Macaca mulatta: one gene and its partner. The main gene of each other region encodes a partner of the protein of the gene in region 2 in a complex. Links are inferred from orthologs where the notes say so. Each region holds a gene or a part of one and is shown on either strand. Other genes may lie near its edges.

The links. The genes of interacting proteins can lie anywhere in the genome.
Region 1: GTF2A1 (region 2) and POLR2B share a complex: the UniProt entries of both Homo sapiens proteins name them as parts of the TBP-based Pol II pre-initiation complex. The link is inferred for Macaca mulatta from reciprocal best matches to the Homo sapiens genes GTF2A1 and POLR2B.

What each region holds. Positions count from the first base shown.
Region 1 is NC_133410.1:76,509,926-76,514,083, reverse strand, and holds the start of POLR2B (DNA-directed RNA polymerase II subunit RPB2), read left to right. Parts: upstream 1-1,356; 5' UTR 1,357-1,406; coding exon 1,407-1,425; intron 1,426-4,158. UniProt on the Homo sapiens protein: Catalytic core component of RNA polymerase II (Pol II), a DNA-dependent RNA polymerase which synthesizes mRNA precursors and many functional non-coding RNAs using the four ribonucleoside triphosphates as substrates.
Region 2 is NC_133412.1:154,407,403-154,410,912, reverse strand, and holds the end of GTF2A1 (transcription initiation factor IIA subunit 1), read left to right. Parts: intron 1-2,737; coding exon 2,738-2,845; 3' UTR 2,846-3,009; downstream 3,010-3,510. UniProt on the Homo sapiens protein: TFIIA is a component of the transcription machinery of RNA polymerase II and plays an important role in transcriptional activation. TFIIA in a complex with TBP mediates transcriptional activity.

The DNA.
Region 1 (4,158 bases), on a different chromosome or scaffold from region 2:
GGCGGAGTCACAAGCGCGCACGCGTACTAGGGCCCGAGGCGACGCGCGTGTTAGAACCGAGACGAAAGCGAGTGGGTACCTGGGAGCTGTCCTGGTTAGTTTTGCGTCTAATCTCGTGAGTTCTCGCGATTTAAGCGCCGAGACTGAGAACCTACTTAAAGCTATAGTAAAGGCATTGGAGGCACTGGAGGATTGAGCTAGATGGGCAGAAGAGAGCGATGAGCGTTTTGAGTTTTTTCACTTTCAGGCTTAACGCCTCACTGCTAGCCCAAGCCGCCCGTAATAAATCACATTTAAAAAGGAGCTTCCGGGCCGGGCGCGGTGGCTCACGCCTGTGATCCCAGCACTTTGGGAGGCCGAGGCGGGCGGATCATGAGGTTAGGAGATCGAAACCATCCTGGCTAAGACGGCGAAACCCTGTCTCTACTAAAAATACAAAAAATAAACCGGGCGTGGTGGCGGGCGCCTGTAGTCCCAGCTACTCAGGAGGCTGAGGCAGGAGAATGGCGTGAACCCGGGAGGCGGAGCTTGCAGTGAGCCGAGGTCGCGCCACTGCACTCAAGCTTGGGCGACAGAGCGAAACTCCGTCTCAAACAAAACAAAACAAAACAAAACAAAACGGAGCTTCTGGCCGGGCGCGTGGCTGGAACGGTAGGCGAGCGGGCAGCTCGCCTCTAATCCCAGCACCTTGGGAGGCCGAGGCGGGCGGATCACCTGAGATCGAGACCAGCCTGGCAAACGTGGTGAAACCCCGTCTCTACTAAAAATACAAAAATTAGCCGGGCGTGGTGGCGCGCGCCTGTAATCCCAGCTATTTGGGAGGCCGAGGCAGGAGAATCGCTTGAACCCGGGAGACGGAGGTTGCAGTGAGCCGAGATCGCTCCACTGCACTCCAGCCTGGGCAACAGAACGAGACTCCATTTCAAAAAATAATAAACAAATAAAAATAAAAATTGCTTCGTGTTTTGGTCTTTATAAAGGCAAATCAATTGAGCATCCCAATGTCGCGGATTCACAGAACGAGCACTTTTTATTAATAAGTATACTTGGCTTTGTTTTCAGGTGTCGTTATTTGTGCAACGACATTGAAAAACAAGCAGAAATAAAACATTAACGGGACGGATGCGACAGCAGATTGCGGGAGCTGTCCTCTCAATCAGCCACCGGCAGCGGCGGCCCACAATTTGCGCGTGTGCAACCCAACTCCCGCCCAAGCTTGCCCTACAATTTGCGCAGGCGCAGATCCTAACTTTGGCGTCCCTGTGGGCGGCCTCTTGTGTGAGACGCACAGTATTCTGGGAACGTCGGAGACGGAAGTTACTTGGTCTTTAGCTCCCGACGCTGGTGGCTTCTGCGCGCTTTTTGTCTTTGATTTCGAGTTAGGAGCTCGGGAACCGTTTGGCAATATGTACGACGCGGATGAGGGTAGGTGAAACACATGCCACGGCGGTCCAGCAGGGAAGCTTGGGGAACTGATTGGATTGATGATTGGGGCCTTCCCTCCCGCCGGCCGGACAGTCCCTAGCCTTGTTCCCACACCTTTCAGGCCGGGAACGAAACTGGGGTAGGGAGAGGCAGAGGGTGCAGGGAACACAGCGTTAATGTTCCCGGTTAGGTTCACTGCTGCTCTGCACTTTCTCGTTCCCTTAGATCTGATCCTCGCTTCCTGTAGTGAAGTAGCGTGCAGAACCGTAAGATAAATTCCGTGGTTTTGAATTTGAAGCAAAGAGCACCCTTTAAAATTTTTCCTTAAAGCCACAGTCGACTTACTGAATAGCTGAAGTGTTGAGTGTCAGCCTGTGTCAGGCAGTGTGGAAGGCCCTGGAAATATATCGGGACAGAGAATATCGGGGGGGAGGGTGGGAGGACTCGGTTTAGTCTGACATTTCTTCATGCTGTTTGTAAGTCAAAGTAAATTGTCTTAAAGGATGGCGTTTAAATTTCCTCTTCTCACAGTGTCACAGTTCTCACAATGTCACAGTTCTCAGATGATATGTATTCTGCTACACTGGACCAATGTATAATATCTGTTTCTTTGCGCATATGGAATTCTTAGTAGTGGCCGAGCGCGATGGCTCCCACCAGCACTTTGGGAGGCCGAGACGTGCAGATCGTTTGAGGCCAGCCTGACCAACATGGGGGAAATCCCGCATCTACTAAAAATACAAAAATTAGCCGAGTGTGATGGCGCGCGCCTGTAATCCCAGTTATTCGGGAGGCTGAGGCCACATCGCTTGAGCCCAGGAGGCAGAGGTTGCAGTGAGCTGAGATTGCGCCTCTGCACCACAGCCTGAATGACAGAGTAAGACTCTTGTCTTGAAAAAAAAAAAAAAAAAAAAAAAAAAAACAGAATTCTTAGTTGAATCTAGTGTATTTTCATAGCTGCCTTTTCTATTCTCCATATCTACTAATGCAAATCTTATTTTCTTCTAGCTCTCAATTCCTTGGCCACCCCTTACATCTCCTCTCTTTATTCCCTCAGCTACTTCTGATAAATGAGATGGAAAAAATTGAAGCAAAAGCTTAAACTTTTTAAAAAATTTTTTTTGAGAGATAGGGTCTGGCCATGTTGCTCAGGCTGTTCTCAAACTCCTGAGCTCAAGCCATCTGCCTGTCTCAACCTCCCAAAGTGCTGGGATTACAGGCGTAAGCCACTGTGCCCAGCCAAAAACTTAAACTTTTAAAGCTGTTTAAACTTCTGTCTCATTTATATCTTGTGTTCTAGAAATTTATTAGCATCATTATAGTACTTGTTCTTTTTAACTGTTATCTCAGTAGAAGAAAAATTCGAAAAAAAGATTTTTTAAAGCATAATTTTTGGCTAGGTAATACATTCTCAGCTCACAAGCCAGAAAGTTTAAAAACGTTAAAGTGGGGTGGCTGGTACAGTGTCTCACGCATGTTATCCCTGCATTTTGGGAGCTTGAGGTGGGTGGATCGCTTGAGCTCAGCAGTTCAAGACCAGCCTGGGCAACAGGGGAGACCCCCTCTCTATAAGAAATGGAAACATTAGCTGGGTGTGGTGGTGCTCACCTATAGTCCCAGCTACTTGGGGAGCTGAGGCAGGAGGATCGCTTGAGCCTTGGAAGTTGACACTGCTGTGAGCCAAGAACAAAGTGAGACCCTGTCTCAAAAAAAAAAAAAATTAAAGTGTCAGGTCTCCTTCTTACCCACCATCTGCCCAGTTTGAACTCTCCACAGTGGGTAACTACTGTTACAATAGATTTTAATCACTCCGCAGTTTCTTTTTTTTTTTTTTTTTTTTTGACAGTCTTGCTCTGTTGCCCAGGCTTGAGTGCAGTGGTGCAATCTTGGCTCACTGTAACCTCCGTCTCCCAGGTTCAAGCAGTTCTCCTGCCTCAGCCTCCCTAGTAGCTGGGATTACAGGCGTGCACCAACATGCCCAGCTAATATTAGTATTTTTAGTAGAGACAGGGTTTCTCCACGTTGGCCAGGCTGATCTCAAGCTCCTGACCTCAGGTGATTCACCTGCCTCAGCCTCCCAAAGTGCTGGGACTGCAGGTGTGAGCTACTGCGCCCAGCCTCCACAGTTTCTTTATGCATATTTGAGCAAATATAAATGGGATTTTTCTCCTTTTTTAAAGACAGAAAGTAATATTCACACTTTTCTCCACTTTTAGATTTTGCTTAATGTATCTAGATTTTTGTATCAGTACACAGAAAGCATCGCCCCCGCCCCTTCGCCCACTCCGCCAGTTACTTAGTTTGTGTGGATGTACCATAACTTAAGTAGTCTCTTGATGGATATTTGATTTATTTCTAGTCATTTTCGGGTTCAGTGCTGTAAATGAATAATCTTGTACATATAATTTGCCCAAGTATGTCTGTGGGATGCATTTCTACATATAAAATTGTCACGTCAAATGATACACACCTTTAACATTTTGCTAGATGATGCCAAGTGACCACCATAGTGGTGATTTGTACTAGTTTTGCAATGTATAATGATCCCGTGCAAAAAAGAGTTTATCATAGTTGCTTTAGCAGTGAGCCTACATTTTATTCTTGCCCATGTCCTCTGAAATGTTTATTAGATAATGTCCTCATCAGTTTTCAGCCACTATGTGAAAATGTCAGATTTCTGTCATCCACATGGAAACAAGTTAAACTTTTCATTTTTTCCTTTTTCTTCTAGTA
Region 2 (3,510 bases):
AAAAATAAAGATCAGGGAAAGAGGACAGGTTTGGTTTCAGTTTTAAATAGGATAGTCATAATAGGTCTTTGGAGAAAATGACATTTTAGCAAAGACTTGGAAAGAGTTAGCCCTATTGTCTGGTGGCAGAGTCTGTTGTATGTGAGGAACAGCGAGGAGGCCTGTGTGGCTGGACTGGAGTGAGGGAAGGGGAGAGTACAGTAGTAGGTGGAGAGGTAGAGTAAGGGAAGGTGGATGGTAAGGATTTTGTAAGGACATGGCTGTTACTCTTAAGTGAATTAGAATGTTACTGGAAGGTTTCAGTGAGACAAGTGGTATGAACTGATTTAAATTTCGAAAGGATTACTTTGCTTTCTTTGTAGAGAGCAGAATATGAGGAGGAAGCAGAGGTTGCTGAAACAAGGAAGACTATTTAGGGGGATATTATTATAATTCAAATGGGAGATAATGGTGACTCAGCCTATGGTGATGGTATTAAAGTTGGTGAGAACTAGTTGGATCTTGGATTTGTTTTGAAGGAAGAGTGTTAACAGGATTTCTTGACTCTGAGATGTGTGGTAGAAAAGAAAGAGGAATCAAGAATGACTCTCAAGATTTTTTGATGAGGATTCTGAAAGAAGGATGGTGATACCATCAATTCAGATGAGGAAAAGCTGCATGTGGAGCTGGTTGGACATGCCAAGTCTGGTATGTCTGTTAGACATTCAAGTCATCAATCTTAAGATGCTACATTTAGCATTTACGTAGTGTATTTAGACCAGAGGTATAATTAGCTCTTAGTCCAGCAGTCTCTGCCCTACCTGCTGTTTTACCTTTATTGTGCTTTGTTTTGCTTTAATAAGTAAGAAAAGTTTGAATCCAGAAGAAGAACATGAGAGTGGTTTCCAAATAAGATGAAGGTTGTTTGATAGAGTGATTTTTTTTTTTTTTTTAAAGTCTCAAAAAGCAGAGCTGGGATCAACAAATGGAAGTTGGAGAAGCAGATTTCAGTAAGGGTAAACTCTGAAAGATTTTACAAGAGAGCTGTTCCAAAAAGGAATAACTTAATTTGAAATTCTTTGCTTACTGTTTCTAATCGTATTTAAGCAGATACTGCACAACCATTTGCCAGGAATATGTCATAAAGAATGTTTGCACTGGGAGGTTAGGCCATGGAATTTTAGGAATGAGATCTTGGAAAATGTCTGTACCTGGCCGGGCGCAGTGGCTCACACCCATAATCCTATCACTTTGGGAGGCCAAGGTGGGCGGATCACCTGAGGTCAGGAGTTCAAGACCAGCCTGGCCAGCCTGGTGAAACCCATTTCTACAAAAATTAGCCAGGTGTGATGGTGAGTGCCTGTAATCCCAGCTACTCAGGAGGCTGAGGCAGGAGAATCACTTGAACCTGGGAGTGGGAGGTTGCAGTGAGCTGAGATCGCACCGTTGCACTCCAAGCCTGGGCAACAGAGTGAGACTCTGTCTCAAAGAAAAAAAAGAAAAAGAAAATATCTGTACCTGTTGAGCATTTCTGCATTATTATGTGAAACAGACTGATTTAGTAAAAAGAGTACTGGACCAAGACTTGAAAATCATGATTGTCACTTAGTAGCAGTATACCTTTGGTCAAGCCATTGAACCCTATCCAAGCTGTCATTTCTTCTTCTGAAAATGAAAGCCTGAACTAGTTGATTTTTTTTTTTTTGTTAGGTACCTTTAGATCATAGAATAGGGAGAACCATGGGGCCTTCTTTGCAGAAGATGTGGAACTTGAACTGAACATTAAATAATTAGTGTGAATTACTGGGAAAAGGAAGAAAGGTCACTTCAGTTCATTAAGTTTTACAACTCCTCTCCCCCACCAAATCCATGGAATTACAAACAACTAAGGACTATAAGTGAAGGCAAAGATGGGAGTGCCCAGAGCCTGCCCTTCGGCTCTTTTTGTTTAACTGTGGATGTACATAGTTTTTGAAATCTGCTGTAAGTGACTGGATGATTAGCATCCTTTAGATGTATATTTAAAATACTGCTATGTATAAGGTTCCACGTTAGGTCTTGAGAGCGCTATAAGGAGTTTTATTTTGGTAGAAGAAGCGAGTCCATACTTGTATTACTTAACAAATAATGTAAGAAATGTCAGTGAAAATACCATTGGGAATTTAACAGTGGAAAAGAATAGTTTTAGCTGGTAAGATTTGGGAAAACTTTGTGGAGGATAGTCTTTTGGAGGTAGACCTTGAAAATATGCAAACCTGGTAGAGAGAGAAGACATTTTGTAAAGAAATATTTTTTAACTATTTTAATGAACACAAGTACTAAAAGCTATAAAATAGTACTAATTACAGATAAATTTGTTTTTAAACCCACCTAGTGAGGTTTTTTGTTTTTTTTTTTTTTTTTTGGTGTGTGTGTGTGTGTGTTTGTTTTTGTTTTTTGGTGAAAAACTTTATTAAGAAACCAATTTTTAGGCCAGGTGCTGTGGCTCACACTTGTAATCCCAACACTTTTGGAGGCTGAGGCAGAAGGATCACATGAGGCCAGGAGCTCGAGCCCGGCCAGCACAACATAGGGAGACCCTGCCTCTGCAAAAACAGAATAAACCAGTTTGTAAATACAATACTGTAAATACTGTTTTGTTGAGGTGGGGGGGTGTGGGTGTGCGTGCGTGTGTGTGTGTATGGATGGATTTTTTGTTACTTGTTTTCTCTGTTTTCTGATTGTATCTCTCAATTTTTTAAATTTTGCTTTCGTTTAGATACACAGAAGTAAAAACAAATGGAAATTTCATCTCAAGGATGGCATTATGAATCTTAATGGAAGAGATTATATATTTTCCAAAGCCATTGGAGATGCAGAATGGTGAAGAGTTGCTTTTTTTCTTTTATAAATAAAAGAAACTTAAAAAAAGTTTAAAGCGGACAGTTTGAAACTTGGGGCATACGCCAACCAAAACTTCATTTCTGCATGTCAGAAAAGTGCAGTAGAAGCAAAGCTACTGGAACAAAGATAGACCTTGACAACATAGACACTACTTACTGGCAAGCCATGGAACTGTAGCACCTGGGGTTGTTGGGTGGGAGGGTTGGGGTTTTGTGTAGGAAAACCATAATTGTTGATTTTAAATACAGGTACCTGCCACCGGTAATTAGCATGTAAAGCTTTGTCTATATTCCTTCCTCCAACTTGGGTTCAATCAGAAGATACTTGTTGGAATGAACTGAAGAAACTTCGGTTTTGATAGATTGAACTGAAACTGCTTATTGTATGTGGTTATATTTGGTAAAAGTTGCGTGTGAGCTTTTTACAAAAGGGTAAGAATTGTGTTGAATTTTAATTCACTTGTATAAGAAAACAGTTTAAAACTCTCATAGTAGGTCTTAAATATTTTTACTTGCTATTCTCCCTCAGTGATATATACCTCTTCCTTTCCAGCTTTATGAAACATCTATTTAAGATTTAAAGTTATCAGTGATCATAGTTTGGAGATAAAATTTGACCCAGGAATGAATATTTATTTTAATTAGGTTT